3 linked regions of the Xenopus tropicalis genome follow. The protein of the gene in region 3 interacts with the protein of the main gene of each other region in a biochemical or structural test. Links are inferred from orthologs where the notes say so. Each region holds a gene or a part of one and is shown on either strand. Other genes may lie near its edges.

Region 1 (3,657 bases), on a different chromosome or scaffold from region 3:
AGCCCAGATCCGTAGATGATAAACCTTCCAAAAACACCAGACCCAGAAGGTCAAAGAGAATTCAGAGTCAAACCCCTACTGTACCCAGGGCTGACTGTCACATCTATTCAAGTGAAGATGAATCTGAAGAGGAGGAATGGGGCTTAAACTATTTCTTCGGTGAAACAGACTCAGAGAGACCTGCTTTTAATAGTGAGGAAGCCACTACAGAATTAAATGTAAATGCTCCAGAGTTTATTCCAGAAAATCTGGATGATGTGCCTTTCCAGGTTTCAGAGGTTGCTCCTGACACATCTATCACAAATGGAAATGAATCTGTACATGAACTTTCAGACAACCTATCGCCTACACTAGAGACTGATACAGATGTTGGCTCCAGAGTTGACTGTGATGAAGAACATATAGAGTCAAGAGTGTTTAACACTAGAGAACCCAGAGTAATCAGACCACCTCAAAGACTTACTTATGATTCTCTGGGCAATAGTACAGAAAAGACTGTGATTGCGGCCCATAGAAGTGCCCACGCCCATGTTCCCTCTAGTGCACACTCTTCAGGTGACACCCCACCCCAGTGTAGATCTGTGGTGTATTTTCAATGTCCTTACTTTGTAGATATACAAATTTGAGTTATGTTACCTACACATGTATGTATCTGTCATATATTATGCATTGCCAATTATATTCTATAAGGTTGCTCTTGAGAGGACTCAAGATTTGTGGTGGGGGGAGAGTGTAACACCCCTAACTAAAGCAAGAAACATGAACAATTGCATAGACAGTTTACAGGACTACATATCCCAGCATGCCGCAGACCTGAGGACCTTGCTGGGGCTTTGAATCCACCAATGATAAGGAAAGGCGCAAAATGTTTTGAGGACCACCCTCCTGGATTATAAAAAAGTGGAGAGAAGTGGGTGCCAGGGATAAAACTGCTGCCTGTTGCCTACCTGCTGTGCCTGCTCTGAGTGTGAGAGCTGCCAGAGGGGAGAGAGACACCTGCAGGGATCCTGGCCCAGGAGAAGCTGCTACAGGGAGAAGCTGACCCTGCTATCCCAGCTCTGGACTTGCACCTGTAAAAGAGCTATCAGTGCTAGCCAGAAAGGGAGCAGGGGGGAGCTGCCTACTGTTGGTAGGAGAGTCCCAGGCTGACAGGCTGCAGAGAGGCCCAGGGGATTACAGATGCTGGAGGGCAGAGCTGCCTGTGTCCAATCTGTTACTAAAGGGGATACAGTGATTTGGAGCACAGACTGTGAGTAACCTGCAACACCACACACTATTGGGGAACTGTGTATTATTAACCAATAGGAGCTAATCCATCTGTTGCTGAACTATACACTCTGCCAAGTCATTTCTCACCTGGAAGGAAAGTGTTTCTTCGCTAAGTTTATAGAGTTATACTGCTAACCGGCAAATGAAAGGAACAGTGCTATTGGCCAATAAGCTAAACTCAATAAGGGCCCCAACGTGCACAAATCATCTGGGACTGTGACAGGGGAATTAAGTTACAACATTTAGCATATATATTTTCTGCATACTTTATATTGGCAATTTAAATTGTGTTATTGTTCTTTGGTATATTGTTATACATATATATCTTGCTTTAATATTTTAAATCATAGTCAGATCCCTGCTGATTGTTTGTTACGCTTAATAAAGAAAAGGGATCTTATTGTTTACCATTATTGTGGTCAGTCATTGGGGTGTCACTGAGTGTGCTGGAGTTACCCATATATATTAGTCTCACCCAAGGGTGTGCTACACAGTGACACAGACAGGAGGGAGCTATGGGACACGGAGTCTGTCCCTCCCACTGCAGGGTGATACAGTGACACAGACAGGAGGGAGCTATGGGACACGGAGTCTGTCCCTCCCACTGCAGGGTGATACAGTGACACAGGCAGGAGGGGGCTATGGGACATGGAGTCTGTCCCTCCCACTGCAGGGTGATACAGTGACACAGACAGGAGGGAGCTATGGGACACGGAGTCTGTCCCTCCCACTGCAGGGTGATACAGTGACACAGACAGGAGGGGGCTATGGGACACGGAGTCTGCCCCTCCCACTGCAGGGTGATACAGTGACACAGGCAGGAGGGGGCTATGGGACATGGAGTCTGTCCCTCCCACTGCAGGGTGATACAGTGACACAGACAGGAGGGAGCTATGGGACACGGAGTCTGTCCCTCCCACTGCAGGGTGATACAGTGACACAGACAGGAGGGGGCTATGGGACATGGAGTCTGTCCCTCCCACTGCAGGGTGATACAGTGACACAGACAGGCAGTGAATATGATACAGTGACACAGAGGATGAGGTGGAGGAATGAAGCCCATACCTGCTTGTCCAGGAATTCCCTTGCTTCGCTCTCGATGTGTCCTTCATAGAGATTAGTGGTGAGGTTCATAAGCCCCATCTTGGACAGGCCGAAATCTGTAAGCTTTATGTGACCCATCGAAGTGATTAGGAGACTAAGGGAAGAGAGTAAATAACAACAAGACAGAAAGTGAGGAGGAAACGTGAAGAGAGAAAAGGAAAACATGCAGTGAATGAGTTTCTGAATGAAGAGTGAAAGTCTGAGTACTGAATTATGTAAGGGAATTAATGAACATAAATAGGGAGTGAACATGTGAATGAGACAATGAATACAGTCAGTGGGTGTGTCAGGCTGTGGGTGTGTCAAGCCATGGGCGTGGCAGTCAGTGGGCATGGCAGTCAGTGGGCGTGCCAGGCAGTGGGTGTGTCAAGCCATGGGCATGTCAGCCAGTGGGTGTGCCAGGCTGTAGGTGTGTCAGGCAGTGGGTGTGTCAAGCCATGGGCATGTCAGGCAGTGGGTGTGCCAGGCTGTGGGTGGGGCAGGCAGTGGGTAAGTTAGACAGTGGGTGTGTTAGACAGTGGGTGTGCGGGGCAGTGGGTGTGTCAGGAAATGGGTGTGTCCAGCAGAAGGAGTGTTGGGCAGTGAGTGTGTCAGGCAGACGGAGTGTTGGGCAGTGGGTGTGTCAGGCAGAAGGAGTGTTTGGCAGTGGGTGTGTCAGGGGGAAGGAGTGTTGGGCAGTGGGTGTGTCAGGCAGAAGGAGTGTTGGGCAGTGGGTGTGTCAGGGGGAAGGAGTGTTGGGCAGTGGGTGTGTCAGGCAGAAGGAGTGTTGGGCAGTGGGTGTGTCAGGCAGAAGGAGTGTTGGGCAGTGGGTGTGTCAGGCAGAAGGAGTGTTGGGCAGTGGGTGTGTCAGGCAGAAGGAGTGTTGGGCAGTGGGTGTGTCAGGGGGAAGGAGTGTTGGGCAGTGGGTGTGTCAGGCAGAAGGAGTGTTGGGCAGTGGGTGTGTCAGGCAGAAGGAGTGTTGGGCAGTGGGTGTGTCAGGCAGAAGGAGTGTTGGGCAGTGGGTGTGTCAGGCAGAAGGAGTGTTGGGCAGTGGGTGTGTCAGGCAGAAGGAGTGTTGGGCAGTGGGTGTGTCAGGCAGAAGGAGTGTTGGGCAGTAGGTAAGTGAGTGAGCATGGGAAGAAGTAAAGGTGAAGCAGAGAAGTGATGGGCAGAGGCAAAGAGTGAAGATTAAGTGTAGAAGAATGGGCGATAAAGAGCCGTGCATAGGGGGGGAGGCAGGCAGGGTGGGAGGGAGGGACGAGGGGGTGAATAACAAGACACAATAATAGTGAGAATAATGTGGGG
Region 2 (3,657 bases), on a different chromosome or scaffold from region 3:
CATGTAAGCATTAGGAGAGGGAAGAAAAACTCCTTCCCCACTGACCCCAGGATGATTCAGTTAAGAGTAAATAGGTCTATGTTATACCTGAAAATGTGATAAATATATATATATTTAATATCAGCAAAAGTGGTATCTAAACACCTCTAAAAGTCATTAAAGAGAAATCGTAACAGTATAAGACAAACAAGGATAAATATGTGTGTAAGATAATAACATACTGAAAAATTACTAAATGAATAGTTGAACATGACATTTTTATATATTTAAAGAGTACCTCTTCAGGGAAAAGTCTAAAAATGTTTAATTTGATGTTTAATAATTCATACCTGTTGCACTTCATTAGCTTTGTATTGCATTGCTTCATTATGTTGTTCTCCCAATTTTTGGTTGTTTAACTCCTCCAAGAATTCATTCCTTTCATCATCCATCCACCCTTCATCCAACTGTAAAGAATACATTAGTACATTATATTATATTATTAGTCATACGTAGTGCTGGTGTAAACCCTAATAGCAATGGCCGGCCAGATCCTTTCATCGTAATGATTCTTTTGAAAAACAGGCCTGTTATACTTTTCTTTACACCAGAAAATGAATGATAATATATGCAGCACTGGTGCTTTTCATCCAGCTCTTAAACAAATGGGCTTACTTGTCTCTAATCTCTTACATCTCTCCTCATCATTTTCTTCAAACCAAATACGTTCATGTAAACAGCTATGTGCCCAGTACACACAAAGCCCAAGCAAAACACATGTTGGGACTGTGAATATAGCCAGGTGCTGAGCAGTCTTCTTATAGGAATCATTATTTAGATATTTGGTAGATTATAAATTTCATTTGGTACTTTGATTACCCTTGGGAATTTAGGAACAGATCAGGCGAATTGATTTGTTGAAACATATTTTTTTCATTTTTTAAGCATTTTCAGTGGCTGCATTGAGCACTAAAACAGTCTCTTTATTTCTATTTTGTAATAAATGCAGCCCTTGCCAGCATGTTACTATGCACTATTGGTACCAAGATAAGAAACATCAGAACAGTTGGGACATGATAAACTGGGATAAAATTAGCTTAAAGCATAGACTGTGAAACTGAATGAAAAGCTCTTCTCACTCTGTGATGAAACAGAGCTGGATGTACCAAAAGAAGTTATTATTCTCCATTTCCTTTCCTTTAGGGATCATTTTAGCATTAATCACAAAGAAACTGTGGAGAAATGGCTTTTCTGTGCAGCTAATTAAAGGCAGTAAAGATTGCTCTGTCATAGTGAAAAATCCCTTGTTCAGAAATATCTGTGCTCATCGAATCTGGCAGTTTACTTGACTGCTCTAAGAAGTCTGTTTAATGATTTCTGGAAAGTCACCAAGATAAGAAGGTAAAAGCTGAAAAATGACCTTAGAATATACTGTATCCTCTTATCACTTTACTACTGAGATCATAGCAGAAAAAAATGTCATATTGAAAAAAAAAAAAAAAAATCAACCATGCCAGCTGTCAAAAGGCACTAGACATTTTACAGAAAGCATCACATCCCTTGGCATGAGAAGTTCTTCCTACACATGTGGGGCAGCTCATTTATTACCTTTTTCTGAAAAAAAGGTGAATTTTGAAACCTTTTTGAAAAAAAACAGCTGGGATTTAAAATGAAATCAAAGATTTGCCATTCATATCTTTACATAAAAAATGAAAACATGGTTGGAAAAATTGGGTGAAGTAAAAATGATCCTTGTGCAAAAACAGAGGCTTAGTTAAGTAAAGCTATATCTACATAAAACAAGTATGACATTGTGACTGATCTAGTTCACCTCTACATTACACTTGCTCCTTGTTTGGTACCCAGCAAGAAAAAGATAATAGCAGGCTAAAGTCCTGGGTTCATTTTATATAGATTTATAAAATAATAGTGCAGCAGAGAGGATGTGCAGCTTAGGCATAGTTGTGACATGATTAATGAATAGAAGATTAATGGAAACAATATGTTTTTTTTTTTGTTGTCTTCTATTTACCAGTCTATGGACCGTACAAATTACAATTACTCAAAAGGGTATGTGTGTTCAACACTTTCCTAGCACAGCTTGTAATAAAATATGTTCTGTTTGTCGTGGCATATCAAACCATGCTGCTGTCGATCCAGTAGGAGAGGGAATCTGCCACCAGACTTGCTGCAGTTGTCTGGCAATGTTGCTGTCTATGTGAGATTTGAACTGAAATCGATATAAATGCCAAGGCAGCATTGTGAGTTATGTCTGTATATCTTCCCAAATGAAACAGCCACCTCACCATCTAGTAGCTATATACTAATTATACACAAAAATAAGCATATATTATTCTTTATTTATATATATATATATGCCGACATATTCTCCAGCAATTCTCCTAAAATAATACACACTCACTGCCCAGTGAAGCTTATAATCTAAAGTTCCTATCAAATTCAAACCAAACTGTCAATTGTAACAGGAGTCAATAAATCTACATATATGTTTTTGGAGAAAACTCACACAGACTCCTTGGCTGGAATAAACCCAGGACCCAAGCATTGCAAGGCAGCAATGCTAATTACTGGGCCACCTTGCTTCTATATTATACAACAAAGTAAATGATTCCATATCAGAATAGTGCAATGTAATGATGGAATTATTAACTTTTATTAGCAACTGGAATGTAGAAAGCCTTAGGTTTGCTAACATCACAGAACATAGAACATGAGAGTCACATATATACAGCAGCACACTACTTTTTATATTGATTTATTCAGTACGCTGCCACCAAGTGGCAAAATGTCACTAAGAGGTAAAGCACCTCCTTTATGGATTGGGCAGGCTGCAAAGAGCAAAAATGGGTGGAAATCACCATGGGTTTGGCACTTGGCACTGAGCAATGCCATTGATATGCTTTCTGTATGACTCCAGCTCTGCCTGCATTCCGGAGCACTGTAGGGCACAACCCTTCCCACCTTCTACCCAGCCCTTGGGGGTCATTTACATTTGCACTGTGCTACAGTGCTTGTTGAATAAGAACTAAGGGTTGCTATTTTGAGCCCCAGTCTTCTAGGACTTTTTTCAGGATACACAATAGGAATTGCTATTCTAATATTTTGTAGCCACATCTGTACTTGATGAAAGCCATCTAATACAAAAACAACAACATTGTACAGCATAGCATAGACAATACCATTGTCTCTATATTTTAGGTCATGATGACAAAGAATATTCTTGTTCACTAACCTGTAACTCTGGTCTCGCAACCAGCAGAGTGATTCTCTTGCATTCATCACTGGAGAGTAATGCCACAGCCTCCTCTCTGTTCTGGATATCTTGGCCATTAATCTGAAAAAATAAATGAAATGGGCACATTAGTTGCCATATCCGCAAGGCAAAACACAATAAAGGGCAAATATCAACTCATTTGTGCTAAATGTATGGACAGTGAAAGTTACACAGAGGACTCATCCTCAGCCCTCGGTTGTAAATGCCTTCGCTCAATTATGCGCTTACTATAAGAACAGTATTGATCTGTGAAGGATGGTGAACATCAGAGGAAGCAGTTATGTTCATAAACGTCTAACCTGCGCCCCAGTAACATACATCTAGCAACACAATTAACTAGCTTCTGACAGGTGACGTTCATCTTTCTCTGTTCAGAGTAATGG
Region 3 (3,657 bases):
GTACAATTTATATATGTTTTTTTTTTTCTTTCCTTTCTTCATGCTACCCATTACTGCAAGGTATTCCTAAATGATTATGTCCCTTGACCGCTATAAGACAGCTTGCCCTCTCCTGCACTTAAAACTGATGAGTTATGTCAACAAATAAATGCAGCTACAGGGGCAAAAGAATACTGAAGTGCCCTCAGTTTGTAAGTTCCAGAATATGCTACTTTGCGAGTACCAACATTATGCTAGAATTCTGGTGGTATTCCTTCCCTGATGTGAATTTTTCTTCATTTGTGCTGTTATAAAAATGGCTATAACATTTTCATAAAGAAATAACTCTTAACTTGCTTTTACTAAGCATTAACTTTGTTGTTCTAGCAGCAGCTCACATTTGATTTTTGAGGATAAGAATTGCTCATTCTGTACCAAATTTTAAGCTACTTTTTAGTTTGCTGACAGTGAAACTTATATACAACTGTGAACATTACAAACCATTCTTTCATATAGTAACTTGTATTTCAGCTATAGTTTTCTACGGACACCCTAGATTTTCCAATTTTCTACTTACTTCAGGATTAGAGTCATGGTTTCCTTACGGTCTTTGCCCTGGAATGGCAGTGATCCTGTCAGCATCTCAAACTGTGAATATGGAAACATTCAGAAATTATTGAAATGGCAAAAATGGAACCAGTAATCTGAAAGAGACTGAAAGAACAGATACCAATAGGAGAAAAGGTAAAATAAATTGTTTTGTGTTTATCTAGATATAAGCAAACAGCTTACCATAAGCACGCCATAAGACCACCAGTCTGCACTGTGCGAATGTCCTTGTCGATTCACTACTTCAGGAGCCATATACTCCACAGTCCCACAAAAAGAATAAGCCTTTTTTTCATGGTCTATTGCCTCTTTACTTAGCCCAAAATCTGATCAGGGTAATGCCAAGTATCCAATTAGATGTTACACAGGTGCACACACAAAAAAAGAGACAGAGAAAATTATGAAGCTTGTTCCAAGTTTGTCAAAAGCCTGCATGTATAGAAGAATGGTCCCAACACAAGAGATTGGTATCAGACAACACCAGGAATCGGAGTGGATACACAGGGATGGGAACACAAACAGTTCACAGAAACATACCAGTAAGCTTTATATGGCCCTCTTCATCCAAGAGAATGCTGCACAGCACAGAGAAAGGCAGATGTTACCACCACGTGCCACTCACAATGATATAAAGTAAACAACTGTGGTATGTATCTTTTTTTTAGTTAACAGCCATCATTTGATGTTAAACCACACCTGTGTTCTTTATGAGGTTCTAAAGGAGAAGGAAAGGCGGTGCCAAAATGTTAGGTACCCCCAAGTGACTTTAAGCGCTTACCTTGTACCCCTGGCTGGTGCCCCTGTTCGGAGAAAACCACACCAGCCCAGGGTACCTGTAGTGAGCAGTTCCGCGTTTGTGCTTGCTCAGTAGAGCGAAAGCCGAACTTTAACAAAAAAGTTGGCTTTTCACTCTAATGCGCATGCTCTGGCCCAGGGATTTTGCCGGCAGAAGAAACACGGAAGGAGGAAGCACTCGCTACAGCTACCCCGGGCTGGTGCGGTTTTCTCCGAACAGGGGCACCAGCCCGGGGTACAAGGTAAGCGATTTAAGTCACTTGGGGGTGCCTAACATTTTGGCAGCCCCAAGTGACTTAGACTTTCCTTCTCCTTTAAGAATAAGTGCAGATAAACTTTTATTGTTGCTTTTATTTAGAAAAAATAAACAATATGCCTGAGCAAAGTACCTATACACCAAACCCCCATATGTCAAAAAAAGGCACTAAGAGCGCCCAGTAGCAGTAACCCCTATAATTTTGGAAACAGTAACAATATTTAATTTCATTTTGTATGTTGAGATAGCATAAGTCAATCTTACCTTTAATCAGTGAAATGGAACTTTTTTTTATTGCACACATGTAAGGATGCTAATTATACTAAGAAAAGTGTTCCATTTCATGCTTAAAGGTAAGATTGACCTATGCCAGTGCTGTCCAACTGCTGGCCAGGAGCCCCCCTCTGTGGCCCCCCCACCTGCCTGACTGTTGTGGCTGCTTTAAATGGTATCATTACTGTGATTAACTGGCCCCTTCCATTGTTCACACCTCAGATTCAGGCTTTAAACCCCTGTGTTATTCACACCTGTCATCTCCATGTATTGTTCACACCTTTTAGTCGCTGCATTATTCACAACAAAGGCTCAAACTGTAAGCACTCACACTGTTCACATCTCAGACAGACTGTAGGAGCAGTAACAGATTGTGTCACTTTATGTTCTCTGCCTGGCCTATGCTGCCTATGTGTGCCATATTCTGCCTGACCTATGCTGCCTGTGTGTGCCATACTCTGCCTGCCCTATGCTGCCTGTGTGTGCCATTCTCTGCCTGCCCTATACTGCCTCTGTGTGTGCCATACACTGCCTGCCCTATACTGCCTCTGTGTGTGCCATACTCTGCTACCCCTATGCTGCCTGTGTGTGCCATACTCTGCTACCCCTATGCTGCCTGTGTGTGCCATACTCTGCCTGACCTATGCTGCCTGTGTGCGCCATACTCTGCCTGCCCTATACTGCCTGTGTGTGTTCCATACACTGCTTGCCCTATGCTGCCTGTGTGTGCCATACTCTGCTTGCCCTATGCTGCCTGTGTGTGCCATACTCTGCCTGCCCTATGCTGCCTGTGTGTGCCATTCTCTGCCTGCCCTATACTGCCTCTGTGTGTGCCATACACTGCCTGCCCTATGCTGCCTGTGGGAGGTAAACCTGGCAGAGGTTTGTTCTGGGAGTATTTGGAACTAGTCATTATATGGAACCTATGGTGTGTAATTATGTGCTGGGGGTTGCTATGTTATCCACAGGGGAAGCATATGTCTTAATATTAGGGATGCACCGAACCCAGTTTTTTGGATTCAGCCGAACCCCAAGCCAAATCCTAATTAGCATATGCTAATTAGGATCTGAAAGTGGTAAAACTCGGGGTGCATGTGCGCAGCGGGAAAATATTTTCCCCCTAACATTTGTACTTTCAAGTGCTAATTATCATATGCTAATTTATGTGAATTAGGATTCAGTTCGGCCAGGACCATGGATTCGGCCCGAAACAGAAACCTGCCAAAAAATACTGAATTGAATCCTGGATTCGGTGCATAAACTTCTTTTACATATGAAAAAAGGGTGATTTCCCTACAGTAAGCACCAATCATTTTGGTTTTTCCTGCACTGCCACCATTAATTTGGGTATGGTCTTAAAAGCACTTGTGATTACATGGGTGTGGCTTAAAGTGGACGCAGTTTAAAAAAGGGGGTGGCCTAAATTGGCTTCCATTATTGGCCCTTCACCATGTACAATACCACATAAATTGGACAGCACTGACCTACACTATCTCAACACACATGCAGTCAAACCAACAGTGCAGTGCAGTCAAACTGCCTTAATGCCTGGCTCACCAACATACTTTTCAGGTTTTAGGTCACGGTAGATGATCCCTAAGCTGTGCAAATGATCAAGACCCAAAGCCAGTTCCGCTAGGTAAAACTTCACATCTTCTTCTGTGAACATTACCTATATTAAAAATACATTTAAATTAATTCACATAAGTAATTCTTACATAATCCCAAAGCATTATTATTTTTAT

The links. The genes of interacting proteins can lie anywhere in the genome.
Region 1: the proteins of rps6ka1 (region 3) and mast1 interact in a test that uses a peptide from one of them, tested with the Homo sapiens proteins (2 studies listed by BioGRID and IntAct, with this or other methods). The link is inferred for Xenopus tropicalis from reciprocal best matches to the Homo sapiens genes RPS6KA1 and MAST1.
Region 2: the proteins of rps6ka1 (region 3) and pdzrn4 interact in a test that uses a peptide from one of them, tested with the Homo sapiens proteins (2 studies listed by BioGRID and IntAct, with this or other methods). The link is inferred for Xenopus tropicalis from reciprocal best matches to the Homo sapiens genes RPS6KA1 and PDZRN4.

The regions. Positions count from the first base shown.
Region 1 is NC_030679.2:140,257,475-140,261,131, forward strand, and holds part of mast1 (microtubule-associated serine/threonine-protein kinase 1), read right to left. Parts: intron 2,468-3,657; coding exon 2,335-2,467; intron 1-2,334. UniProt on the Homo sapiens protein: Microtubule-associated protein essential for correct brain development. Appears to link the dystrophin/utrophin network with microtubule filaments via the syntrophins. Phosphorylation of DMD or UTRN may modulate their affinities for associated proteins.
Region 2 is NC_030679.2:65,054,808-65,058,464, forward strand, and holds part of pdzrn4 (PDZ domain-containing RING finger protein 4), read right to left. Parts: intron 3,335-3,657; coding exon 3,233-3,334; intron 447-3,232; coding exon 330-446; intron 1-329.
Region 3 is NC_030678.2:77,649,007-77,652,663, reverse strand, and holds part of rps6ka1 (ribosomal protein S6 kinase alpha-1), read right to left. Parts: intron 3,585-3,657; coding exon 3,478-3,584; intron 1,164-3,477; coding exon 1,126-1,163; intron 915-1,125; coding exon 772-914; intron 628-771; coding exon 557-627; intron 1-556. UniProt on the Homo sapiens protein: Serine/threonine-protein kinase that acts downstream of ERK (MAPK1/ERK2 and MAPK3/ERK1) signaling and mediates mitogenic and stress-induced activation of the transcription factors CREB1, ETV1/ER81 and NR4A1/NUR77, regulates translation through RPS6 and EIF4B phosphorylation, and mediates cellular proliferation, survival, and differentiation by modulating mTOR signaling and repressing pro-apoptotic function of BAD and DAPK1.